Linked DNA regions of Xenopus tropicalis. The protein of the gene in region 5 purifies or fractionates together with the protein of the main gene of each other region. This does not show direct contact. Links are inferred from orthologs where the notes say so. Each region holds a gene or a part of one and is shown on either strand. Other genes may lie near its edges.

What was found.
Region 1: the proteins of cbx1 (region 5) and ahdc1 purify together in Homo sapiens (affinity purification with mass spectrometry; 4 studies listed by BioGRID and IntAct, with this or other methods). This does not show direct contact. The link is inferred for Xenopus tropicalis from reciprocal best matches to the Homo sapiens genes CBX1 and AHDC1.
Region 2: the proteins of cbx1 (region 5) and znf644 purify together in Homo sapiens (affinity purification with mass spectrometry; 3 studies listed by BioGRID and IntAct, with this or other methods). This does not show direct contact. The link is inferred for Xenopus tropicalis from reciprocal best matches to the Homo sapiens genes CBX1 and ZNF644.
Region 3: the proteins of cbx1 (region 5) and chaf1b purify together in Homo sapiens (affinity purification with mass spectrometry; 4 studies listed by BioGRID and IntAct, with this or other methods). This does not show direct contact. The link is inferred for Xenopus tropicalis from reciprocal best matches to the Homo sapiens genes CBX1 and CHAF1B.
Region 4: the proteins of cbx1 (region 5) and adnp purify together in Homo sapiens (affinity purification with mass spectrometry; 6 studies listed by BioGRID and IntAct, with this or other methods). This does not show direct contact. The link is inferred for Xenopus tropicalis from reciprocal best matches to the Homo sapiens genes CBX1 and ADNP.
Region 6: the proteins of cbx1 (region 5) and ehmt1 purify together in Homo sapiens (affinity purification with mass spectrometry; 3 studies listed by BioGRID and IntAct, with this or other methods). This does not show direct contact. The link is inferred for Xenopus tropicalis from reciprocal best matches to the Homo sapiens genes CBX1 and EHMT1.
Region 7: the proteins of cbx1 (region 5) and znf280d purify together in Homo sapiens (affinity purification with mass spectrometry; 4 studies listed by BioGRID and IntAct, with this or other methods). This does not show direct contact. The link is inferred for Xenopus tropicalis from reciprocal best matches to the Homo sapiens genes CBX1 and ZNF280D.

Annotation. Positions count from the first base shown.
Region 1 is NC_030678.2:78,143,556-78,147,586, reverse strand, and holds the start of ahdc1 (AT-hook DNA-binding motif-containing protein 1), read left to right. Parts: upstream 1-1,231; 5' UTR 1,232-1,600; coding exon 1,601-1,667; intron 1,668-4,031. UniProt on the Homo sapiens protein: Transcription factor required for the proper patterning of the epidermis, which plays a key role in early epithelial morphogenesis. Directly binds promoter and enhancer regions and acts by maintaining local enhancer-promoter chromatin architecture.
Region 2 is NC_030680.2:105,028,341-105,031,840, reverse strand, and holds part of znf644 (zinc finger protein 644), read right to left. Parts: intron 2,934-3,500; coding exon 4-2,933; intron 1-3.
Region 3 is NC_030678.2:12,933,201-12,937,412, forward strand, and holds the start of chaf1b (chromatin assembly factor 1 subunit B), read right to left. Parts: upstream 2,801-4,212; 5' UTR 2,670-2,800; intron 2,297-2,669; exon of another isoform or gene 2,275-2,296; intron 1-2,274. UniProt on the Homo sapiens protein: Acts as a component of the histone chaperone complex chromatin assembly factor 1 (CAF-1), which assembles histone octamers onto DNA during replication and repair.
Region 4 is NC_030686.2:35,649,635-35,653,785, reverse strand, and holds the start of adnp (activity-dependent neuroprotector homeobox protein), read right to left. Parts: upstream 2,801-4,151; 5' UTR 2,472-2,800; intron 1,675-2,471; exon of another isoform or gene 1,577-1,674; intron 463-1,576; 5' UTR 326-462; intron 1-325.
Region 5 is NC_030686.2:11,718,020-11,721,728, forward strand, and holds the end of cbx1 (chromobox protein homolog 1), read right to left. Parts: intron 2,801-3,709; coding exon 2,626-2,800; intron 2,116-2,625; coding exon 2,021-2,115; intron 1,402-2,020; coding exon 1,257-1,401; 3' UTR 501-1,256; downstream 1-500. UniProt on the Homo sapiens protein: Component of heterochromatin. Recognizes and binds histone H3 tails methylated at 'Lys-9', leading to epigenetic repression. Interaction with lamin B receptor (LBR) can contribute to the association of the heterochromatin with the inner nuclear membrane.
Region 6 is NC_030684.2:4,277,875-4,281,374, forward strand, and holds part of ehmt1 (histone-lysine N-methyltransferase EHMT1), read left to right. Parts: intron 1-1,125; coding exon 1,126-1,270; intron 1,271-1,356; coding exon 1,357-1,434; intron 1,435-1,525; coding exon 1,526-1,641; intron 1,642-1,727; coding exon 1,728-1,814; intron 1,815-2,645; coding exon 2,646-2,724; intron 2,725-3,500. UniProt on the Homo sapiens protein: Histone methyltransferase that specifically mono- and dimethylates 'Lys-9' of histone H3 (H3K9me1 and H3K9me2, respectively) in euchromatin.
Region 7 is NC_030679.2:100,159,080-100,163,123, reverse strand, and holds the start of znf280d (zinc finger protein 280D), read right to left. Parts: upstream 2,801-4,044; 5' UTR 2,665-2,800; intron 1-2,664. UniProt on the Homo sapiens protein: May function as a transcription factor.

The DNA.
Region 1 (4,031 bases), on a different chromosome or scaffold from region 5:
AGTTACAGGGTTGCTAGGGTCCAAATTACTATAGCAACCAGGGAGTGGTTTAAACGAGAGACTGTTATAGAAATAGAAGAGGACCCGAATAGAAAAATCAGTTATAAAAATTAACAACAGCAGCAAAACTGTAGCCTCACAGAGCAATAGTTTTTTGGCTGCTGGGGTCAGTGACCCCGATTTGAAAGCCACAAGTTGACTGAAGACGGCAGATAGTTTCAAAACGATAAAAAAAAAAAAATAATGATTACCAGTTGAAACATTGCTTAGAACATGCCATTCTATAACATACTAAAAGATAAAAGGGATGGTTCCCATTTAAGTTAAGAGATGCGCAAACTTGCTGCCCCCCTACATAAGATCTGCCACCCTACACCTGTGAGTATGTATCATTTCCAGAAGTCTGAGCTTGACTACAGACATTTCATCAATGGTTATTAAAATATTGCTATTTTCTGTCACTCCCATTTAAAACAATAGGGCTGTAGGAGGTCTAAGGTGGCAAAATGATTTCAGTAATTATTTAAGAAAAAAAAAATGTAAAAGTCATGTAAGAGTAAAACATGCAAGTTTTACTGATTACATACATTTCAGAAATTGCTGCAATTTTTTTGCTGGCAATTTTTTTAAACATCTCTTGATATAACGAGCCTTAAAACTCCAGCTTGCTCACATATCCACATTCCCCTACTCTGTTTCATTCATACACGTGACAGAAAACACCACAAAAATATTTGAATCGCTTCCACAACAAACGTGCGTATATTACATTAGATAACCTATTACAAAACTACACCTTCCAGAATGCCTTGCCGCTGAACTATAGAAACTACAGTTACCAGAATACCTTTATACCAGCTACAAACTATCACCCACAGACTCGGTCTGCATGCATGCACACAAACCTGACAGGGGTTCAGTTATGAGCCAATTCTCTTGAGATGTCCCATGAGCCACTAAGCTCTGTATACTGACTTATTTAAAGTCTCCGATACAGCCATCATATAGGGATAAAAAGAACACTAGAAACTACGTATCCCAGCGTGCCTTGCTGCAAGAGACTATTAGAATAGAACGCTACAGTCTAATCTGAAAGTAGAAACTGTGCGCATGTGCACTATCCGTGGCCTTCACAGAATACACACTACAATTCCCAGCATGCCTTAAACCTCTTGTGAGAGGCCCAGTGGGGAGGACTCCATGTCCCATCACGCTACGCGGCACTGGGAGGGGGAGTAAGATAGAAGGGGCGGAGCCAGCAGCGGGCGGAGGCGGCTCAGACACACTCAGCGCAGAGACACGGAGGAGGAGAGAGAGTCGCGGAAAAAACGGGGATTTACCGGAGAGCAGTAAGGGCGCACCGTGTAATTCCGAGAACAAACAACCCCCCTGGAGTGTATAGAGCAGCGGGTGACCAAAGAGAGGCGCAACAAGGGCCTGGGGGAAGGAGAGATAGAGAGAGAAATTCCCGTGTGTGTGTGTGCGACTGGGGTGAGAGCCAGATCCCTCGCACGGGCAGCCGGGACTATCTGGACTACAGCCTTATATCTGGGGGTGCCACCTGGGAATTGGATCGCCGAGGCCGAGAGATGATGTGACTATGCTGAGCGTGACCGGAGCCGGAGCAGCCATGAGTGGCCGAGAGGAGCAGGAGCCGGCGGGGAGCGGTCAGTCTTTGCTTCGGGGGTGCTGCTGCTCTGTGTGTGTGTGTGAGAGAGAGAAGCACCGTGGGGTGTCAGTTTACGGGGGAGTGTGCACGGCTAGCATGTAATGTGGCTTTGCAAGTTCCAGGGGGCAATGGTTAGTCCAGTGCAACATCTGGTCCTCTAGCTGTTATTGTACTACAAGTCCCAGCATCCCCCCACCTCCTGACAGCTTAGTGTTTGGGGAGGGGGGGTTGTGATACTTCACTGCGTTCAGAAATAGCCGTGGGGCCTCAATTCGTCCATCCCTGGGGGACCCCAGACATTTGTGTGCTGTTAAGTGTCTCTGGTGTGTGTTAGCCAAAGCCATTCATACTTGTATCTAGATGGAGAGCGAGATTGTAGTAATGATGTACATTCGTATACATAATAATAGCTGTATTCTTTAGTCCATTTATTTATATCGCGCACACATACACAGAATTGGAACGTTCATGCACTCTGTGCTGGGATCTAATCTCATGGGGGCCAATTTGAGTCTTCCTCTGGTAATTTCTATACCAGGGGGTCCGTCTGCCTCATACCTACAGGATACACACAGTGTGTCTCAGGTTTATAGTGTCCGTTCCCCTGTGTGCTATTTCCTTAATTACCTTTTCTGAGATGCTTTTTTTAATCATATGTCCCTGTCTCCCCTGCTAGCAAAGGATACATTGTAACATTTGGTAAACTGAATGACAAGCTGGCTTGCATTAAGGTTTATCTAATTTGTTGCAGGCAATATCCTCTCGGGATCCTATGTCCCCATAACTGTTTATATCTATTTAATACACTGTATCCTTCCCAAATCTGTGTATAATATATATTACATATACAGCAACAAGCTTTGTCTATTTTCTTTCCTTTTTCCTCTTTTATCAGTCTTTAGGTGTAGGTATGCATTAAGTGTGCACCTCCAGCTGTGGTTGTTGAATAATACTGAAATATTAGTTAAGCAACAGCTGGAGGGGATATGCTGGAGGTCCCTGATCAAAATACACGCCTTATGTTATCAACTTCCTATCTTTTTGGGGCTTCCCTACTAATGACTTCATTCTGTGGTCTCTATGTATTATGTACCTCTCAGTCTTTATGTCTCTATAGGCCTCTACATATGTAGGGATGAACATGTGCAGTAGAATGTAAAACACCTAATACAAGGATAACTAAATGTGCTATGGGTTACTTATGAAATAAAAGTTTATATAACTTGGCACTTGTGCATGTCATAATTGTACATACCCCAAATCTGTCTCTACATCTTTCACTTATTGTAGAGCTTTATCTTACTACCCTGCATGACTTGTCTGTCATTCCAGCATTATGCTTGTCTATTTAAGTTTTTCACTACCATGTATGTTACATTGGTTTTTTTTTTAGTGTTTTCATGTTAAATGTCTTCTGTAGCCAGGCACCTGCATGCCACTCTGTAACTGAACATGGTTCAGTTGTCTAGTGGGTAGATTTGTCTGATTTAGACAGCCATGTAATGACCACCTTGTTTTGTTGATAGTTGAATATGTCCAAACTAACAGACCATATTGGCACACCTAAACAGTAACTGTATATCAGAATTTCATTAATGGTACAACAAGAAGTTAGGAGGCAATACTTCTTGTAGTATCCAGGTATTCACTGGCACAGATTGGTTCATTGCTACTTGGTCATTTGATGGGCTTGCATGCTCAAATTTTTGTCTCAGGGTTTTCAATTTTTTTTGCATTCAAGCAACCCGTTTTTGAGCAGACATGTAGACAAATCCCTTCTTAGCATGTATGCTATAGATACATGAAAACTTTGTAGTAGTCGCCAATTACAGTTCTAGTAATAACCAGAAAAATAAATGAATGGATTTTTTGCCACATTTTCCCTTCATTCTTCATTGTTCTGGGCTCCTTACCCATTGGCTTGACCTAGGGTGGGCAAACCCACAAGTTTGAAGCATCTTCTCCAACAGGTATATTATAGTAGTTAACGACCTACAACTCTCAAGATATTATGGAATTCTGCCCACCGATTCATTCTTGGGACCACAGTTGAGCAAAATATGAGTTTTGCTTGGGGTTGCACACCTCTGTCACATTCATCCTTTCTGTGTATACTGACCTGTCTGTCTGCACAGTTGTAGACTGTTTTTTGTTTTAATTTGACCAAATTTAATGTGGAGCATGCTTGCATATACCCAAATTATCCTTGTTGGGTTTCACTTTAGGTTTTACCCAGCGGGTATGCTTAATTAACCCCAGGTGATAGGATGCTAAATGGATGTAATACAGTGTGCAAAGTTTGCCACAGTTCTTATCACCTATAGCAACCAGCATTTACTGGTCTCCTGTATAAAACAAACAT
Region 2 (3,500 bases), on a different chromosome or scaffold from region 5:
TACCTTTTCGAACTCGTTTCGTTGGTGTTCCAGTTCTCTTAAAGTGCTGCATTTTATCACTAGTTGCAATCTGTTCTGGTGACACCACATGTCTAGCTTCATACGTCAATCCTGCTCTGTGAAGATGCCCACGAACATGATTTGACAGTCCAACCCCAGTTTCAAAGGTTGCAGGGCAATAAGGACAATTTTTCTTTTCCAGAGACAAATCACTCCAATGGAATATAGCACTATGCTCTTGCAGCACAGAGTCATCATTTTCAAGATGATTAGCACCAGGCATGTCTTGTATAAATACATCCCCCTCCCCATCTTCATAATACTCAAAGTAAAAACCATCATTGCTATTATAGTGCAGGGTGGATTCATCACCATGCTCATCGTTCAATTTCTCCTTGAATACAGGATAAACTGATTGCTTTCCTGTATTATAAGGTCCATCAGGAGGTTCTGTATATTCATATATTTCATCATTTTCCCATGAATCATATTCATCTTTTTGTTCAGAGGGGTGAAGTTTTTTCAGGACAACAAAAGTCATTTTTTTAAGGAAATCTGGATAACAGTCTAAACTTTCTTCAGTGGCTGAATGTTCATTTTCTGGTTTAAGCACCTTTTCTACAGCTACCCGCCTGTGATCTTTAAAAGCAACAAATTTCCTTGGCTGTAAAGACTCAGCATCTATAATCGAGCAATCATTCTGAAGATCAGTGGATGCTGAAAGCAACTCTAAAGTACTAGATGAATCTTCCTTTTTTAAATTTAATGGATACAAATCATTAGACTTCTTTAACATTTTGAAATTCTGACCGTATCTGTAGCCATGATTCGCTCTGGCATATTTCGGTTTTGTAATTTGTTGATAATACCTATGTTTTTGGTCATTGCTAGTAAAGAGAAGGGATTTATTTGGGGAAATGGATGGACTACAAACTACAGACTGAGCAGCACTTTTCCTTGCTTTTTGTATTTTGTGCTTTCGATGCAACTTTGTAAAACTGTTTGTTTGGGATACAGAACCATAATGGCTTTTCATATCCTGTTTTAAGACAGAATTCTTTGGAAATGAAGAGGAAGGTTTTATAATGTGTTTTGTTTCCTTACCAACACTTAGAAGTTCAGAATCTGTGAAATTCTGTAAAAGGGAACCATTAAAGTGATCAGGGGAAGATGACTGATGAACATATTCAATGTGTTTTTTTAAATTGTTTCTAGTAGAAGCAGCAAATGGGCACATCTTACAGATATAAGTTGCAGATTTTTTGGATGAAAGAAAAAGAGAATTTTTTAATGAGGCTTTTTTAATACCTTTTCTCTGGGGTATATCTGAAGTGAGACTTGGACATTTTACCACTGCTCCGTGTGCAGCACTTCTGTGGCACTCCAGTTCATTTTCACTAACTGCCATAAAGTTGCATTCTTCACAGCAATAGTACCTTTTATCTTTCTCGTGGGTTTTGGCATGCTGCACAAATGTCTTTGGACAGTTTGTTCCAAATACACATTGAGGGCACTGCAGTCTCGCACTTCGGCCTTCATCCTGAAGTTCCTTCAATTCTCTTATCTCCTCCATTAGCTTCTGCCGTCGTTCCTGGTGGATAATCATATGTTTAAGAAGTGAATTACGGTCTCTAAATGTTCTCCCACATTCTCTACAAGCATATGGCCTTGGAACATTAAGATGCCGAAAGTGATTATTCCCATCCAAATGATACATCATATGTCTATGAAGATGTTTCTTCTCCCTAAAATTTACATTGCATTTTGTGCAAGGATAAAATGATGGCTCTTGATCATTAGTGCAAGTTGGTGGTGACAATGAATCACAATCATTATTTGGAAAAAATGACCCAACATCATCAGGTGATGCTTCATCAGAAAAGTCACAAACAGGGCTACACATATAATGCGTCATAGCATCTATCGCTTCATTTGGAAGATGTTCTTCCGTGTCATCAAGATTGGATTCAGACTTGACCTTCGTTAACTCAAAATTGTGAGGGGCTAGGAGTTGCTCTTCATCGCTCTGTTCCATCATATCTAGATTTAATAACTTTTTCTTTGAAATATAATCATCATTATAAGCATCTTCTGAATAGCAACGAGTTATCTTACTACCATCCATTTTCCTCTTCCTTTTTTTCTCTACTTTTACAACACAGTTTTTTTCAGATTCTCCAGCTGCGTTTTCATTATTTACAAGTTCTTTTTGACCATTCATATTGGTCTCATTTCCTGTTACATAATCATCTTTTCCACAACCATGTGGATTATATACCTCTTTGACTGGCATATTTTTCCTATCATCACACACATCTACAGGCTCTATTAAAGTGCTATCCAATGTGAAAATATTCCCATTAGTTGTGTCAGAACAAATAGAAGAGGTAGGAAGTTTTACAATGGAATGGGTATCTTTCTTTGTATGTGCTATATCAGGTATCAAAAATAAAACTTGCTGACTTGAAATCTGCGCAGTTTTTATTGTAGGCTGTTGGAGATCATATACCACCTTCAAAGATGAACACAAATCTTTTTGCTGAACAGCGGATTGTTCCAAGGTTTTTGAAATGCTATCTGTACTTATGATGGAAGTAATGGTTGGGGAGCAAGAAACTGGTCCATTTATAGTAGCTTCTTTAGTCAAGGAAAGGTTTTCACTAGTTATAGTAGGATCACCAGCATGTATGAATAGAGAAGGCTGGACTCTGCTTAAAGCTTTTTCAGACCTGTCCCTCTGTAAGTCTTCTGGCATAGTCAGTGAACTATTTTTCTGGAAAATGATTTGTCCTGACTGTATACTTTTAAATACTAGATCATTTTCTTCAGAGTTGAAATTGGTGTCCTCTTTGAGGCGTTCTTTAGCACCAGAACTTTCAGTATTTATCTGGGATTCTTCCATCTTGTTAGTCTTCCCATTAACGAAATAGGTTCTAAAAAGCAAAATAAAAAAGCTAAGTGTAATTAACCAATTCACAATTCAATAAAAAAAACACAATGCGATATTCTGTAAACATCTTAACTCCACTTAAGGTATTTACTATACATTTAAAAATTGTTCCACAAAAGAAGTCTGAATACATATGGTGCTTCACTGTGTTTATAAACATAATGTAGTGCCTGTGAACACCATTAAAGTGAAAACTGACCATCAAGAAAAAAAAATCACCTACATGCTCATCTACTGCACAAGGTAACCCTAGGTCAGTCTGAATAGCCTTTCTGATGCTACAAATACCATATTTCAGTAAGGCCCAACAAGTTGCTTAGGCATCCCCAAAGAACTTTTTCATGCTTGTGTGGCTCACGAGTAAAAAAAGGTTAGGGATCTCTGCCATATCTGGTTGGCATTCAAGTTCCCCCTGATAAAGGAGCCCACCTCAAAAATTTGTGGTCCTTTTGTTTGACCCAGTAAACACAGGGGTTTGTCCCCTATTTTGCAGCATGCAATCCCCTAGCTAACAAGATATTTATTATGCACTATATGTAGTGGCCGTGGT
Region 3 (4,212 bases), on a different chromosome or scaffold from region 5:
CTGGAAGGGAAGAGCACACAGACCAATCAGCTAAGCTCTGTCAGGCAATTCCTCCAATGGCAGAGAGGCTACTGTACCCCCAATCTCTGCTTGAAAAGACTGGACCTTTATTGGGTTATGTAATATAAAGGAACAAAGCTTGTTACAATGCTTACGACCCATAGCAACCAATCAGCAGGTAGCTACCAGTTTAAATCAAATTATAATTGGTTGCTATGGGTTACTGCACTTTGTGCCTTTTATTACATATAGGGGGGAGTTAAAATAGAACTAAAGACACAAACAAATAAAGCAAACAAGCAGAACCTGCTCCCCCGAGCAATTCTGCAATTTACTTTTGCAACCTGCCTGTATGTTCTGTGTGAATGTGACAGGGACCTTAGAGTGTAAGCTTACTGGGGCAGGGACTGATGGGAATGGGATAGGGACCTTAGATTGTAAGCTCACTGGAGCAGGGACTGATGGGAATGTGACAGGGACCTTAGATTGTAAGCTCACTGGGGCAGGGACTGATGGGAATGTGATAGGGACCTTAGATTGTAAGCTCACTGGGGCAGGGACTGATGGGAATGGGATAGGGACCTTAGATTGTAAGCTCACTGGGGCAGGGACTGATGGGAATGTGATAGGGGCCTTAGATTGTAAGCTCCACTGGGGCAGGGACTGATGGGAATGTGATAGGGACCTTAGATTGTAAGCTCACTGGGGCAGGGACTGATGGGAATGTGATAGGGACCTTAGATTGTAAGCTCCACTGGGGCAGGGACTGATGGGAATGTGATAGGGACCTTAGATTGTAAGCTCACTGGGGCAGGGACTGATGGGAATGGGATAGGGACCTTAGATTGTAAGCTCACTGGGGCAGGGACTGATGGGAATGTGATAGGGACCTTAGATTGTAAGCTCACTGGGGCAGGGACTGATGGGAATGGGATAGGGACCTTAGATTGTAAGCTCACTGGGGCAGGGACTGATGGGAATGTGATAGGGACCTTAGATTGTAAGCTCACTGGGGCAGGGACTGATGGGAATGTGATAGGGACCTTAGATTGTAAGCTCACTGGGGCAGGGACTGATGGGAATGGGATAGGGACCTTAGATTGTAAGCTCACTGGGGCAGGGACTGATGGGAATGTGATAGGGGCCTTAGATTGTAAGCTCCACTGGGGCAGGGACTGATGGGAATGTGATAGGGACCTTAGATTGTAAGCTCACTGGGGCAGGGACTGATGGGAATGTGATAGGGACCTTAGATTGTAAGCTCCACTGGGGCAGGGACTGATGGGAATGTGATAGGGACCTTAGATTGTAAGCTCACTGGGGCAGGGACTGATGGGAATGGGATAGGGACCTTAGATTGTAAGCTCACTGGGGCAGGGACTGATGGGAATGTGATAGGGACCTTAGATTGTAAGCTCACTGGGGCAGGGACTGATGGGAATGTGATAGGGACCTTAGATTGTAAGCTCCACTGGGGCAGGGACTGATGGGAATGGGATAGGGACCTTAGATTGTAAGCTCACTGGAGCAGGGACTGATGGGAATGTGATAGGGACCTTAGATTGTAAGCTCACTGGGGCAGGGGCTGATGGGAATGTGATAGGGACCTTAGATTGTAAACTCACTGGGGCAGGGGCTGATGGGAATGTGATAGGGACCTTAGATTGTAAGCTCACTGGGGCAGGGACTGATGGGAATGTGATAGGGACCTTAGATTGTAAGCTCACTGGGGCAGGGACTGATGGGAATGGGATAGGGGCCTTAGACTGTAAGCTCACTGGGGCAGGGACTGATGGGAATGGGATAGGGAACTTAGATTGTAAGCTCACTGGGGCAGGGACTGATGGGAATGGGATAGGGAACTTAGATTGTAAGCTCACTGGGGCAGGGACTGATGGGAATGGGATAGGGACCTTAGATTGTAAACTCCACTGGGGCAGGGGCTGATGGGAATGTGATAGGGACCTTAGATTGTAAGCTCACTGGGGCAGGGACTGATGGGAATGGGATAGGGGCCTTAGACTGTAAGCTCACTGGGGCAGGGACTGATGGGAATGGGATAGGGGCCTTAGATTGTAAGCTCCACTGGGGCAGGGACTGATGGGAATGTGATAGGGACCTTAGACTGTAAGCTCACTGGGGCAGGGACTGATGGGAATGGGATAGGGACCTTAGATTGTAAGCTCACTGGGGCAGGGACTGATGGGAATGTGATAGGGACCTTAGATTGTAAGCTCACTGGGGCAGGGACTGATGGGAATTATGTATACTCACACAAACGCACTGCAGAATACAAGGAATGGCTATATGAGTGCAATAGTATATGGATGATGCAGGGCTATCTGTGCAGTAGGGGGGGGGGCTGCAAGCTCTGGCGCTGAACTCTAACGCATCTGTTGCAATAGAAAGTATGAAGAGCAGCAAAGGGGAGTCAATAGGATCCAGTGTGGGAATGGCAGCAATAATGCAGTCACTATGGAGCAGATGGAGGGAATCAGAAGCCCCTGATATAATAGAGAAGCAGCAATAACACTCCTATAGGCATTACTCCCTCATCCCAGGCTAGCGCTATCCGAACTGCCAGTGTCTGCTGTGTCTGACAGGATTGTGGGAGTTGTAGTGCATACACGGGTTAAATAAGAAGCTTGCACACAAACACACGGAATTACCTGCCCGGGGAAGCGATCCGCTCTCTGCTCTACGTCTGCTACAAACTTTCCCGCGTCCGCTCCCTCCCCGCCCCCTACCATAGAGCGGCCCTGGTGCGGAGCGGGAACAGCGCCATCTAGGGGCGCGATAGGAACTGCAGCAAGGATCCCACTTGTGTCTCAGAGCGCAAAGTAACTGGAATGTGTGGGCACAATGCAGCGTAATGGGGCTGGGATGGGGTTTTACTGGGGCAATAAATGTACATGCAATGTGCTGCCCTTCTGTCCAAGGGATACCCCTAGTATTGTAGCAGGGTGTTACCCCCATGTTTCTATATATCTGTAACCTTGTTATGGGCTAAGGGGGCCCAGCCTGAAGGGCAGTTAGGGGGGGATTTGGGGTGAGTGCTTATTTGTGCCCTGGGTACCCCTGGAACTATAGCAGGGTGACTGTTACCCCAATGTTTCTATATATCTGTAACCTTGTTATGGGCTAAGGGGGCCCAGCCTGAAGGCCAGTTAGGGGGGGATTTGGGGTGAGTGCTTATTTGTGCCCTGGGTACCCCTGGAACTATAGCAGGGTGACTGTTACCCCAATGTTTCTATATATCTGTAACCTTGTTATAGGCTAAGGGGGCCCAGTCTGAAGGCCAGTTAGGGGGGGATTTGGGGTGAGTGCTTATTTGTGCCCTGGGTACCCCTGGAACTATAGCAGGGTGACTGTTACCCCAATGTTTCTATATATCTGTAACCTTGTTATGGGCTAAGGGGGCCCAGCCTGAAGGCCAGTTAGGGGGGGATTTGGGGTGAGTGCTTATTTGTGCCCTGGAACTATATGGGATTCATAATCCAGAAAGGTCAGAATTAAGGGAGGACCATCGCCTGAAAATGATTTCCTTTTCTCCATAATAATAAAACAGTACCTGTACTTGATCTTAACTAAGATATAATTACCCCTTATTGGGGCAGAACAGCCCTATTGGGTTTATTTCATGGTTAAATGATTCCCTTTTCTCTGTAATAATAAAACAGTACCTGTACTTGATCCCAACTAAGATATAATTACCCCTTATTGGGGGCAGAACAGCCCTATTGGGTTTATTTCATGGTTAAATGATTCCCTTTTCTCTGTAATAATAAAACAGTACCTGTACTTGATCCCAACTAAGATATAATTACCCCTTATTGGGGGCAGAACAGCCCTATTGGGTTTATTTAATGGTTAAATGATTCCCTTTTCTCTGTAATAATAAAACAGTACCTGTACTTGATCCCAACTAAGATATAATTACCCCTTATTGGAGGCAAAATAATCCTATTGGATTTATGTGTTTAAATGATTTTATAGTAGACTTATGGTATGGAGATCCAAATTACATAAAGATCCCTTATTCAGAAAACCCCAGGTCCAGAGCATTCTGCATAACAGGTCCCATACTCCTTATGAGTATTGTTGAAATAAAATCAAATATCTGTTGTTGTATTAATTTTTATAAATTGCCATGGGGCGTTACTTACCATTTCACTGTATATAGTGCCTGCAATATGTCTGCATTACGCAGGT
Region 4 (4,151 bases), about 24 Mb from region 5:
ATGGCTGACGCAGAACAAAAATGGATCAACACATACAGCTTTCAACATTAATAACATTTACACATAACTTTTAAAACTAATGAAATCAGGAATGCATGTATTTTGAAAAGTTAAGTTATATTTTCTTTTATTAGTCAAAAGAACTGTTTTTCAGTAGTAATTAACTTTAAAGCATGGTTACACAGTTGATAAATAATGATGGTTACTAAAGACACTTCACTCCATGGGTTCCAGGGTCCTCTAACATGCCATGCAAAAACACAGTCCTTACTACCATCCTTCTTTTCTAAAAGCTTAGAGGTAGAAAGGAGAAATGAAAACAAACCTTTTATGTCAAAATAAAGTTAAGGAAGATTGAAATGATGATCCGAGCGCCAGTTTGTTGCTGTATGTCCCACACAGTGCAAGGTGCTGCAGATAGGAATCCAAGGAAAAAGTGTAAGTGCCAATGAATTTATCCACCTGTAGAGAGAAAATGATTGAATTTTAAGCACATGGTATTTTCTTAAAAACTACAGTACCCTCTGATTCTACTCTTCCCCTCTATAGTGCCACTTACTGGGTTAGTGCTTTGATACATTAGTCTATCAGTTCAGTTATGTTTCACCCCCTTCCCAGGGCCACCCTCTTTATAATTTGGGAGTTCTGTTTCTGCACAAGTTGCACAAAACGTTGAACCCGAAAAATGCTAAAAGTAAGGTAAGGTGTTGTTATTGAATACACTATACCATGCTCTACACTAGTGATGGGCAAAACCTGAACAAACAAGGGATAAGTTAGTGGTAAATAACTAGCTGGCATAATCTGATGTGAGGTGCATAGCCCTAATGGACACAAGGAGTAAAGTAAATTGCCATGAGTAAGAAAAGGCACCAATTTGACAAGTCAGTTTTGTGACAGGGGGGCTATACCCAGGTATCCAAAGTATAGTTTTTAAGGTGTTGCTGAACCATCACTAGCAGCCTTTAGCAGAGATGCTGGGAACTGTAGCACTCAGAAGGTCCCAAGCAGTGCATCCATGCTCTACACTAGTGATGGGCAAAACCTGAACAAACAAGGGATAAGTTAGAGCCTGCACCTAGAAGCACCAGAGGGGCCTAGGGAATGTGGGAGTGAATCACTGGCTCTCTGCACAAGCAGTGCATAATGCTGCTGTCATGGGCCCTGCCGCATTCCACTCCCAAACCTATAGGAGGCGCTGTGCAGCAGCTTCCAGTTTTGCTTCAGTCTACCCATCCCCCCACCCCAGCGCCTTACCCGGCGCACAGCAAGCGCCCCCTACTGGAATGTGAGGCGCCATTTTCTAGCTGCAGTGCATCTTGGGTGGAGGCTGCCTGTTATTTTTTTTATTCCCCTTTTTCCCCCCTGCCACAGCTCGCAGCCGTGCAAATAGAGAAAACAAACAGCGCTAAAGTGCATGACTAATGCGAAGCCATCACTGTGACAGCAGGCCATGTGCAGCGCAGGAAAACACCGGCAGCAGTTCGGATCGAGCGCCTTTGTGATGGACCCCCACTACGGGGAGTGGTGCAGCCCACCTGCCGCTAAACCCTAGCGCCGGCCAGCCCATGTGTACCTGGGGAGAGGGGAGCATGCTGGTTTAAAGGTTCCTCCTACAGGATCGCGCCTTTTTGCAGCAGAAGCAGCCAGACAAGGGAGGGTGGGGGCAGCCCCTATCCCCACCCCCTCCCATATATTAACCCTTTGCCTTCATGCCACTGGGATGCCCGAGGTACGGCCCTCCGGCTTCATAACTGCACGCAATACGAAGTTCTATTTATGTAGCATGGCAGCGCCAACCCCATGCCCCCCGCTGCACCCACAGCCGGATCCTGTGCCCCTCCATGCCCGGCACCCCTCTAGCCGAGCTCCCACCGGCACTGCATGTCAGGCTGGAACTCCCCAGCAGCAGGGTGCCCACCCACACATCCCATTGGGGCACCCCAGCTAGTGGCAATGGGGGCAACAGGACTCATACTGGCACCTCCCCCATCCCTACACCCAAAGTAACAAGTCTGTCCCCACAACCATCATTATCCGCATCCAATCAGAGCTGCCCGGCACAGATGTGAGTGCTCAGTACAATAGCCAGGTATGCCCCCTGCCCACTGGGCCCATCAGCCTGCCTATCTGTCCCCACACTATCTCCATCCCCTATTTGTGTCCCTCACACTCTCTGCACTTCCACCAACTCCATTGTGCCCCGCACTTCCTGCAGCCCTCAGTGTCTCCCCAATCCTTAATAACTTCCATCTGTTCCTCACACCACCAGTAACTTTATTATCCGTAACTAGCTCTGCTCTACCCCCTGTCACCCCCCCCAATTCCTGAACTATAAATCCCATCATCCTCTATAGGGGGGATCTGGGAGTTCTAGTTCTACCTCACGTTAGGCACTCCGACTTCATGAGAAGATGCACCCCAACATACCCACCCTGTAACCATTACGCCGCTCACGGCCCCAGACATACCTGAGCCGGGGGGTTGCTTGTCAGCCCGAGGCGGTGGGCAGCCTATGGCCCCTTGGGATATGGGGGTGCCAGGCAATGCGCCTGAGCATGAGCCCCGTGTTTGTGTGTGGGAAGGGGGTGGAGTCAGTTCCCGGTGCCGGTGGCTGCAGCTGTGACTCCGCCGGGTGCACTTCCTCCTCCTGCAGACAATACAGCACGGCGGCGGCAGCGGCTCCGATCCTGCCCTGGCCAAAATGGCGGCCGCGAAGGAGCGGAAGTGACGTCAGCGCTCATTAGCATGAAGGAGGGGTGGGGGGACTCATTGTCCGGAGCTGGCGGGAGCCCGGGAAAAAACAAATACTCCACTGCAGCCGCGCACCTGGGGACCGGGGAGATGGGCATGCACAAAGGGGATCTTGTCCAGCAGGAATTTGGGGGTGAAAGAGAAAATCGGGTCACCAAGATAATCTCCCTCTCACCGCTAGGGGGCGCCTTTTGCGGACGGATACTTCAAAGACAGAAAAATTACAGTGGGAATGCGCGGTGTTCTTGGTATCCCTTCGCCACCGGCACTATTATGGGTTTGGTCACGTGGTGCTGGGTTCTCAGTGCTGCAGCCATGTGGTTTGGGTGGTGTGGAGGGAAGAGATTGGTAGGGCAGCTCCCTGACTGGGTGCCAATTTCATTGCTACTGGCACTATATCAGGAGCAAGAAGTAAGCATCCCATGAGTTACACTTCTGTGGAAAGAGGCTCATTGGGAAACTAAGTTGGCCACAGTAATGGCTGCCAAGGACTGCCAATTTACAATGGTCTCTTTGGAGGGAGGTGACATCTTCCAGCCAGTGGTCACTGTAGTTCTTGAGGATCTAACAAATGACAAGTAAAATCCCTTAGCTAGGTATTATGGTGCCAATATAGTAGGTACCACAGCATCCCTCTGGCAGTTGCAAAGCATCAGCACCTTTAGCAGAACTGATTGCTAGTTAGTAACCCATTGTGCATATAGGTGCCCTCAAAGCCAATTAGCTGCTTTCTATGGTCAACAGCCAAGCATTAAAGTCATTCTCTGATACAATCAGGACCCTATTTCATGGTATGTTTGGGGACCTGGAATATTTTCTTTCAACTAAAGTAGTTTTGGTTTGCCATTGCCCTTCTATTCTTGGGGCTTCTGATTTTCTAGACTAAAGGTAACAATACACATGCCTATTTAAGTTGCCAATTTCAGACCAATTTAGCAGCGCATCTGTATGGGCACTACCAACAGGCCTATTTATTATAAAAAAAAATAGGCAAATGTATTTAAGCATTTGATTGAATTGATTGAAAAATTAATTGAAATTATTGAAAAATGAAGACAACTTAATTCAAAGGACCAATAACCCTAAACATGATTAATCTGACTTCAAGCCTTTTATTTAATTCCAGTGTTTGCCGTCAGCTCCACTGTGTTGCAGTCTTTTATGTGTTGTCTAAACAATGCCCCACCCAGCCTATAATGTTCAGTGGATCTTTACGTGATACATATTCATAAACTGACTTAAATATAATAAAGTACAGTTCAAGTATATATTTAATGCAATAAACCAACAGTTACCATCACCAACCAGTATATTAAAAAAACAAAAAAATAAAATTATATATTACTTAAAATTGTACTCACAATTAAAGAAGATTATACAAAATTTAATAAAATCAT
Region 5 (3,709 bases):
CAGAGTTCCCTGTATAACTCAGCCTGCAGCCTTGTGCCTTTATATGGTCACAGAACCCCTCAGTGACTGCTAATATCCTTATCATTTACAGTAGGGGGTACATTATCCCTTATAATACGTGAGTGATACTCAGAGTTCCCTGTATAACTCAGCCTGCAGCCTTATGCCTTTAGGATCGGAAAGGGTTAACCCCCATGTAAAGGCTGGAAACAGAAGGGAAGGCAAATAATTCAATAACTATAAAAATAAAATGAAGACCTATTGAAAAGTTGCTAAGAACTGGCCATGCTATAACATACTAAAACTTATCTTAAAGGTGAACTAACCCTCAAAACAAGTTACATTTTCATCTCTGGCAATACCAGATTCACAGTGATGATTCTCTATCTGCCTGGCAGAGACTCACTAAATAGATTTGCCCCTCTCAGGGCAAGTCCTGGCCGGGGGGGGGGGGTTCCTTGCAAGCAGGCTCTGGGCACAGCAAACAGAGCGACAATGAATTATAAATCTAAAAGTTTTATTAGGACGACAGACTGACAAAATGCTAAGAATTACTTTACATTAAAACGAAGTTTGCACAAACCTAAAACACATGCTTTTTTAAAAAAAACAAAAAAAAAACCTGGAAAAAAAAAAAAGGAAAAAAACTACAAATCTGACAGTTTATACAATGAATCTGTATGTAGTCACAGCGTGATGGCAGAGACCCCGGGGCCTCAGCTTGAAGGAATTCTGGGGAAGTGTTAGAAAATGGGATCAGCACCTGTTTCAGCTTCCTGCCTGCCAGGACACCCGCCCCCCACCCAGCAATGAGATTCCCATAACCGTTCTTATACAGGGTCCCCAAAGAGCCCCACGTGGCGAGTTCCTAGGCAGAAGGATCTGCAGCTACCTGTTGGACTGTCTTTCTTCTTTCCAGGGTGACAATGATATCGAAGCGCTTTGTCCCCCCTCCCGCCGTGGCCTCACCGTCTCACCCACAGACATCACTAAATGGACATGCTACTCAGTAAAAATGCAGAGTTTGTAACACTATCGGGAAGGAGGAGGAGGAGGAGAAGCTTGTAGGATGCAGTGTCCCCTGTGCTAGGTTCCTCCTGTCCACGTGTCCCCGGATTTCTGCCGATAATACATACCAAATATTCAGGACAGACTGAATCCTCCACGGCTCTCCCCCTTCCTCACTCTGGCGTGAGTGACTGGCGTATACATCTCACCCGCTAACTGTGGATCGTTGGTGAATTGTTGGGGGGCACTTAGTTTTTCTCGTCTTTCTTGTCATCTTCCTCGGAAGGGTAAGAATGCCACGTCAGCCGCTCCTCGTAGAACGAGATCACCACCTGGGGGCACTTAACGTTGGCTTCCTTGGCCGGGACGAGGTCGGCTTCGTCTGAGTTTTTCCTGTGGGGGAGGGGGATGTACCCATTGCTGCTTAGCACTGTATCCCCCCAAATAAGGAGCACACCCCAATGAGCATGCACAGGATTATGTTTAGGGTCATGCAGGGTTCCCAGAAGCAGATACACACTGGAGCCAGTCATATCTGCTACATGACTGATGTAAAGGTAAGTAAACCCAAACTTCAAATGCAATACACATTTCCAGTGGTTTTAAAGGGGATGTTCACCTTCACACAATAGTCTGAAGTTGTTTTGAAGCTACCGATCGTTGCTGCTAAAACTCTCTCTTTGGAAGGGATCTCCAACACCATTCTGGCTAAACAGGAAGTTGACACTGAACTGGTTACAGAGCACGCCTTCCCTCTGCTGCTTTATTTGCATATCTTTGAAACCATTGGCTGGCAAAATTCAGCCAATCCGATCAATTTAATGCAAATGAAGCAGGAGAGGGAAGGCATGCTCTGTGGCCAGAACACAAGTTGGTGTCCGTGATCCCTTCCAAAAAGAGAGCAGAGAGAGTTTTAGCTTCAGACTATTGTCTGAAAGTGAACATCCCCTTTAAAGTTGCAAATGACCTAGGAGAGGTGTAGAAAGGGACCCCCCCCCCCCAAGGATCTCACCATTTCATTAGGAACATCAGCTCTCCGCTGGAGTCTGTGGCACCAATGATTCTCTCCGGTTCCAATCCGCGTGCAAAACCACGTGGTTTCTCCACCTGGAATGAGAAGGAGGTTATGTTACGTGGCTACTTGTGGTGGTGCCACATCACTGGCCCCAAATACCGAGTGAGCTGATGGTTTACAACTCAGCCGACACGTGGGAAAACTTCTGTTCTTTGGGGTGCTCACAAGGTAACTAATTGATTTGTACTAGACCCTTCCATGTCCAGAGGCCTGTGCATATCACAGTCTGCTGGGAAAAATAAGGTAGTCTAGGACTTCAAGTCGCTCTGCTTTCCTGAAGTCCCAGAATCCATCACTTCAACATGGAAAAGGGATTTAAATGACTGTCAGCCTAAAGGGGTGGGAAGGACGGATCTTACGAGTCAGACTATCATGGCTTCCTCCCAATCTGTGGAATTAGGTTTACCTGTGTAAAAAGGACAGTATGTATGTATATGTATTTCTCGATATTTAGTTTGTCTTTATTTCTACAGAAGTGTGAGCTCCTGTCATTGCAGGGGGCATTTTCCCTTTAAAAGCAACTGAAAAGCCATTTGACTCACTTCATCCTTCTTCTTCTTGGGTTTGCTCTCCTCGCCGACCTCGGTGTCGGAGTCAGCCTTGCGCTTGCCTGCCTCTGTTTTCTCCGACTCGTACGCGGATTTTTGCGACTGCAGGAACTCTGCGATGAGATCGGGACAGTCCAAGTTCTCCTCCGGCTCCCAGGTGTTATCGTCGCTGCAAACAGCACAGGGATTCACAGAATTCTCTCCCCCCCACAATAAGACCCTTCATCCAAACTGCGCAATGTTGCTTTGCAACTGCAACCAAGTTTCTTCCGCATTGGGAAGGGGCCGGGCACGCCAAGCTGCAGGGTAATATCTAATGGGCACGGCCGGCACTAAAGAGAATATAGTGGCCCTAGTAAAGGACCTGTATCGCCCATGTCCAAGATGAAGCCCTCCAGCCGTCACTGAAATACAACTCTCAGCTCAATCCCAGCCTCAATCACCGGTTGAACTATCTTTATCTATTTAGGGTGTTTTATTTAAAAGGCAAGTCAAGCCAAAATATAATTTTTGCCCAATAAAAGAAAACATAATTCTAAGCAGCTTATTTGTATATATAATTGCTATTAGAAGTTGCATTTGTCCTTTTCTATTCCCTGCTTTGGGGGTTCTGACTTTTGAAGCAATAAAAAAAACACAAGGCAGCAGCCTTGCTGACCTTTGCCGACAATAGCTTTTTGGCTGCTGGGGTCAGTGACCCCCCCCATTGGAAAGCTGGAAAGAGGCAAATAATTCAAACACTGCTAAAAATGAAGACCAACAGAAAAGTTGCTACAAATATGACAATTGTACTAAAAAAAAACATGAAACATATTTTTACTGTCGAACGTATGATTTTCTCTGTGGCAGCTCCTGGCAGTGGGCAAATTTAACTCTATAAGTGCCAGGCTAAAGCCCCTTATCTATAACCCCTGCAGCCTTAGTGGTAATTACAGGGTTCAGTAATTGGTTCTGCTGAAGATACACTACTATGGGTCAGACCAATTGGCCTCTGAATTGCTCAGGTTCCCCCAGTCACATGTGTAATACTGGGTACCCCTGTGCAGGGAGCCCTCCATACACCCATCATAGAGGCATC
Region 6 (3,500 bases), on a different chromosome or scaffold from region 5:
AATGGGCACCTATCATAGGGAAATGGTTTTGGCTAATAATGCCCACACTCCGGGTGGGGGGAACTGTACTCCGGGCCAGAACTAGGGGTAGGTACTTATCATTGCCCCCGCCCCCGCACAATGACAATTGGCGGGGTGGCCAACTGGGTTGCCTAGGGCAACCCCGTTGGCTCCCCCCCCCCCTGACTTTACTATATTGGCCAAGAAATGCTCCTAGGGAGCTTCCAGTGCAGGGGGCCATCTTTGCCCATGCATATAATGAGAGAGCTGGGACTCCCCCAAAATGGCCGCCTCCACTGGGAGCTGCCAGTCGGTTTGGGCGGCAGAGAGCAAGCCAGGAGGAGTATTTACCTAAAATCATATAGTTTCCTCTATTAGCCAGCATCTTGGTGGGGCAGAACACAATTTTCTATTGAAAAGTGCCCTTTAAAGGGGTCGTTCGCCTTTGAGTCACTTTGAGAATTTGCAGTTGGTCTTCATTTTTTTTATTTGTAGTTTTTGAGTTATTTCGTTTTCGGTTCAGCGGCTCTCCAGTTTGGAGTTTCAGCAGCTTATCTGGTTGCTAGGGTCCAAGTTACCTTCGCAGCCAGCGAGTGGTTTAAACGAGAGGCTGGTATATGATTAGGGGAGGGGCTAAATAGGAAAAGAAGTTATAGAAAGTAACAATAACAATAAAACAAGAGGCTCACAGAGCAATAGGGTTTGGCTGCCGGGGTCAGTTCTCCTGTTGCTAGGGCTCAAATTACCTTAGCAACCACAGAGTGGTTTGAATGAGAGACTGGTATATGAATAGGGGAGGGGCTGAATAGAAAGATAAGGAATAAAAAGTAGCAATAACAATAAAACTGGAGCCTCACAGAGCAATAGGGTTTGGCTGCCGGGGTCAGTTATCCTGTTGCTAGGGCTCAAATTACCTTAGCAACCAGGGAGAGGTTTGAATGAGAGGCTGGTATATGAATAGGGGAGGGGCTGAATAGAAAGATAAGGAATAAAAAGTAACAATAACAATAAAACTGGAGCCTCACAGAGCAATAGGGTTTGGCTGCCGGGGTCAGTGACCCCCATTTGATATTTGGCAAATATGGTTGAATTTTAACCCCCCTCGTGCTTTATTTATTACAACAGGGATATATCCCGGGGGTACGAGAATATCCCCATCCCTTGCGTCAACGCCGAAGACTCCGAGCTGTGTCCCGTCAACTACAAATACGTCTCTCAGAACTGCGTGACCTCCCCGCTGAACATCGACAGAAACATTACCCATCTGCAGGTAGGGAGGGGCTTATTGCTGTGCCGCTAGGGGGGGTGGGGCCATAGAGTGGGTACCAGACTGATTTGTCCCTCTTGCCCTTTCAGTACTGTGTGTGCATCGATGACTGTTCCTCTAGTAACTGTATGTGCGGCCAGCTGAGTATGAGGTGCTGGTACGACAAGGTAAGCGCTGCGAAATGCGTCGGGCACGTGGGCAGCCATTTTGGTTTATATGAGGTTCCAATACCTTTTTTTTTTTTCTTCTTCCCTCCAGAACGGGCGCTTGTTACCAGAGTTCAACATGTTGGAGCCCCCACTGATCTTCGAATGCAACCACGCCTGCTCCTGCTGGCGCAACTGCCGCAACCGTGTGGTTCAAAATGGCTTGAAGTGAGTGACGCTTCCCCCCTACCCCTTTACGCCAGTGCCTACCAGGGTTCTTTTCACCGAAATCTCGTTTTTTTCCCGTTTTCCAGGATTAGATTGCAACTGTTCCGCACCAAAAGCAAAGGCTGGGGGGTGCGATCCCTGCAAGACATTCCCCAGGGGACCTTCGTATGCGAGTAAGTGTGTGCGTAAATCTGCCTTCTGATTGGGCCCCGACCTTCTGTCCCAGCATCCAATCAGAACGAGCCACCTCCCTGTGGCCCATCTTGCTTTTCCTGCCTGCTTGTCCGCAGCTTCTGTAAAGAGCAGTAAAGCGGCCGTGCATCTGCAGATTTACTCCTTTAACGATCCACAAGGGGGGGCCATTGGAATGTTAAACAGACTAATTGTGTTAAATGGATCAGATGTCTCCGCTTCCAAAAGGTTTAGAGTGGAGGAGGGTTCGGCCACCAAACTCATGAACTCCCAGCATTCCCAGCTGCCCCAGAGACCTCATTTCTGGGCTCCATTCCTGCATTGAACCAGAAGAATCTAGTAGTAGCTTAGGGGTAGTTAACTTTTAGTATGATATAGAATGGCCGATTCGTAGCAACTTTTCAATTGGTCTTCGTGTTTTATTTATTACGATTTTTGAATTATTTTATTTATGACTGTTTCCAGCTTTCAAATGGGGGTCGCTGACCCCGGCAGCCAAAAAACTTGCACTCGAGACTACAATTTTATTGTTATTGATACTTTTAATTACTTATCCATCTATTTAGCCCCTCCCCTATTCATTTTCTAGTTTCTAATTCCAACCACTGCCTGGTTGCTAGGGTAATGTGAGCCCTAGCAACCAGGCGCCTGCTGAAATTCCAAGCTGTAGAGCTGCTGAACACAAGTCAGTAAACCACAGAGAATTAAAAGTGAAGACCAATTGCAAGTTGTCTATCAAGATCTACATCGTACTTAAAGTTACGTTGAAGGTGGACAACCCCTTTAATGTCCGTCTGGCTTTCTTTCCCCAGGTATGTGGGGGAGCTGATTTCGGACGCAGAGGCTGACGTTCGAGAGGATGACACCTACCTCTTTGATCTTGATAACAAGGTAAGTGGTGGGGCTATTAAAGGAAAGGTGAACTTGTAAAGGTTAGAAGTATCTATTGGCTATCTGAAGACCTTGCCACCTTGACCTTAGCTGGATCCGATGGATCCACCAAATTGGATACTACATGATTGGCCAAACATTATGCAGGACCTGATGGCCATGTCTGGCCAACATTGTCCAATCATCTGTGTCAAGTCAAGCATGATCAGCGAGGTGGCGCCTTTCAGGAGATGGTCATGACAACAGCACTTGTAAAGGTTAGAAGTATCTAAAGGCCTGAATACCTTGACCTTAGATGGATCCACCAAACTGGATACTACATGATGGCCAAACACATGCAGGACGTGATGGCCATGACTGACCAACGTGGTCCCCTGGAACATTTTCAGGCTTGTCCAATCTTCTATGTCAAGTCAAGCATGATCAGCGAGGTGGTGCCTTTCAGGAGATGATCATGACAACAGCATTGGTAAAGGTTAGAAGTATCTAAAGGCCTGAAGACCTTGACCTTAGATGGATCCACCAAACTGGATACTACATGCAGGAAGTGATGGCCATGACTGACCAACATGGTCCCCTGGAACATTTTTTAGGCATGTCCAATCATCTGCGATCCAATAGGGTTGCAGGAAGATCTGCTAGAACCAAGGGGACTCCATCCATGTGTGCATTTGTGTTCTGTACTAGAGATGTGGCCCTCGGTTTATGGTGGCCCCATAAAAAGACGGAAAAGCCACCGGGTCAAAGCAGCCCCCCTGGCTTGGCATTCATGTCCA
Region 7 (4,044 bases), on a different chromosome or scaffold from region 5:
ATTATGAAATGGCACAATCTCAGATCTCATTGATCAGAGAACAAAAAAAAACCCCACAAAGAAATTTTTTTGCAAAAAGTTTATTCAGATCAGATTGCCTTAAATGTGACCGCCTGTAAATAATTAAGGATACAAAATGTGTAGAAAAAAAAAAAGATCTGCAGAGTCTACATTTTTTATATTATGAACTGAATAAGTGTTGAGGTGCAGGTCCTTCTTTTCTCTTCTGAAGTATATAAGCTATTAACTGTTCTCTAATGCATTTTTCCAATGTGATTTGGAGTTGCAGAGTTAAGCTTAGCATCTTTGAAACATGTACACGTTTTATCCTTTGCCACAATGTACTGCTGAGTGGTTCTGTTTTGCAATACTGTGGAAAGGTGCAAGTTTGCTGGTCAGATGGTAGGCATGTGATTTTGGGGTAAAAATACTTAAGAGCAGCATCTTTTATTTTTTTCAGTCATGTTTTTACTTAAATTTACAAGCAGCATCTTTGAAAACCTCTAGGTATATGTTTTGTCCTTTAACAGAATTATTTTCTGAGCTGTTCTATGCAAATGTGCAACCTCATTGGTAAGATGTGCATTCTGTGATTTTGGGTTACAGTGATGCCAGACTGAAGCTTAGCAGATTTAAAGGAGAAGGAAAGGCTAAGTCACTGGGGGTTGCCAAAATGTTAGTCGCTTAACTTTTACCCCGAGCTGGTGCTCCTGTTAGGAGAAAACTGCACCAGCCCGAGGTAGCTGCAACCAAGTTTTTCTTCTTCCTTCTTCGGTCGGCTTCTTCACTCTACTGCGCATGCACCATCCCCGGAATTCAGAAGACAAAAAAAAGAGGAATCACTTGCTGCAGCTATCCCAGGCATGTGTGGTGTGGGCACCAGCCCAGGGGAAAGGTCACTGGCAACATTTGGCACCCCCAGTGATTTTTACCTTTCCTTCTCCTTTAAAAACCTTTGTGAACATTTGTCCTTTGCCAAAATATGCAGCTGAGAAGTATTGTTATACTTTGGAATGGTGTAATATGATTGAAGCCTGTGATGTTGGTTGTAAAAGGATGGCATATTGATGCCTAGAACCTTTAAAAATTCCTAGGCGCATCTCCTTTGTATCTAAAGCTGGCCATACATGCAAAGATTCCCTCAAATCTTTGCACAATTTGGCCACCTACACTTTAGGTGAAATTGGACTGATCCAATTTGACAGAACAACAATGAAAACCAGGCAAGCTCTGCAGACATACTGATCATTGGGCTACAAGTTTTTTTTCCCCTCAGTATATAATATCTGAAACTCTTTTTAGTTCCATAAACCCCATTAAATTTGTAGCATCAGGTTTTTTGGCCCATGATTGCATGCGAGTATGAAAACAGTACCAAACCAGGAATACAAAATATCCAACATCTTTTATTTATTTATTGATATAGTTGCAGGCAGTTAAGTAGCACTTTACAATTATTTTTAACAAACAAGGGTCTTAAATTGAGTAACAAACAAGGGTTACAAAATAAAAACGGTAGAAGGTCCCTGCTTACAACAGCTTACAATCTAAAGGATAATGCAACGCGATCCTAAAGGATGAACTAACGGAAAAGGCAATGTTTAGCCTAATAATAATAGTAGTAAGAATGCCAGTATTAAAAATGCTCAAGTGCAAATGAACTAATTCACCAGAGCCTGACAAGACAAAGGTTTATAAATATAAAACAGATTTGTGTGCTTCTGCTAAACGAAAAAGTTCAGAAAACTTCCAAATCCCCCATTCTAATAAGTTCTACAATCCCCCCCCCTACCATAAATGCATAACAAGTTTCAAATAAAGGCAACTTACTCTTATTTATAAACTCAAGTAAACCGACGGCAATTTTATAAACTGATAATATCTAGTAGTTAGAAAGGCTTGTGCAACATACAAATATGTACGTGTGTGTGTGTGGCAGTCGTCTTATAATCCATTTATTGCTTCCTATCCCTCAGACAAGAAAGCTTTCCTTGCGAATAGGTGAGAGTGGACTGAGGGTGCATAGTTTGATTCTTTGCTCACTGCCCCTTCCAGATTTAAAGTTTACAAACCATTTTAAAGAGACAATCGAGTTGTGTCAAGTGCCAGAACTGGGAGAGAGGAAGAGTGCAAACATGACTAAGATGTGGGGTATATTTATCAAGCTGTGTAAAAATTGGAGTGAAGCATTACCAGTGCCGTTGCCCACAGCAACCAATCAGCAATTAGATCTTAGCAAAGCATCTGATTGGCTGCTATAAACATCACTGGTGATGTTTTACTCCACTTTTTACACAGCATGATAAATATACCGCCTGCAACCATCCTCCTTTTGTATCTAGGGCCGCCATCAGGGTGGGTTCTTGGTCTTATGGGGTGCCCGGCCGTGCTGGACTTACTTGGATTACTGGGCCCCCTGCTATCAGTGAGCTGGACACTTCGGAAGCGAGCTAGGGCTCCCACATGTTGTTTCCCTTACACAACTTTCTGTATTGTTCGTGTTGTTATAGAAGTTTTAGTCCCGCTAGATCCGCATGGGGAATGAATAGGCTGTGGGGGAAGTTCAAACTTCACTTCCGAAGGCTGCAGCTCACTGACAGCACTGGGGGCGGCTAATCCACGTAAGTCCATACTGCCCTAACAGTCCCGCTTTTCGCTACTTACCCGCCCCTCAAAGCTCTTAATTGCAAGCTCCTGGCATCCAGTCTTACAGAAAATCCCGACTCCAAAAGTCTCATCACGCGAGACTGTAGCGTCACGACTACACGTAGCGTAGTGACGCAACACGTAACCACCTTGGAGGCGTGGCTAGCAGAGAAGTTGTAATTGAACATTACTTTGAAAGCGACGTGTATATGACAATTGGTGTAATGACGCGTCTTTTCGCTTTTTTAAGAAAAAAGTACGTTTATTTTGTGTTGTTGCCCACCTAACTCGCTGCCACCTCAGCTTCCAATTATTTCCAAATATATCACTTTTATTTTCTGCTCGTAGACAATGGAACCTGAAAAAGGACTATTTGACTAAGAACGCAAGAGTTTCTGTGCGAACTAGGGTCCTGTGAAGTAAAGTCGTGTATTTTGAGAGCCCCAGTGGTTTTATTTCTTTTTTTGCAAAAGCGACAGAATAACTGTAAGTGCAAATTCATATAAAGGAGTGGGAGAAAGTGACCAAAAATAATCTTATAATCTTTTATTCTTTCTTTTCTGTGGTCCTAACTGAAACGGGCAGGTTCCTTGTCAGTTCTGCAGAAAGTTCCATGGGCTCAAAAGTGCATGCACTAAGCACATGGGCGTGTAAATGAGAAATTCTCATTTTGCTGTACCAATTGTTTTTTTCTTATCCCTAATGTGATAAGATGCACTATGGCCAATTCTCTCAGTCCAAATTTTGGGTTATTGCAATCACATTTTGGCCAATTACATTCATAATAAAGGTTGAGGATTACACATTGCCACATTACACTTCAATACACAGCTGTATTGGCCTGGATTTAGACAAGGGTATGTGGTATGGTATTCTAGTTAATGGGACTGTGAGGGAGATGGATCAGCTGTAGGAACATGGCCCATCATAGCAACCTATAGTACTGATGTTGAACATAAAATAAACATAATCTAAAGACCAGAACATTTAGAGCTCCATTAACCCTATATTACCTACCTACCAAAATTGGTTGGGTGTCTACCATGTAATAAAACAAGCTTTAAAAGTTCTGCAACTAGGATGTTGGGCCTAATAGGGCCAAATAGTTGTTAAAAGTCACGGTGCCCTCATTAGAGTCATTCCCAGTGGTTGCAGCAGTTTAAACCCTCCAAACAAACCCCACTGCACATATATGCACATACTTATACAATTGGGAAAACCGGGCAGATTGCCCCCCCCCCCCAACTGTGCAACCTGCCCCTGTGACTTCATGCCCCACCCCCATGATGTCATACCCTGCCTTCTTGCCCACAGTTACTGGGCAGGAGAGGTGGCAACCCTAAACCCTATCACTGCCCTAACTATGAAAAACCACCTACGCTGCTTTAAATAAAAGAT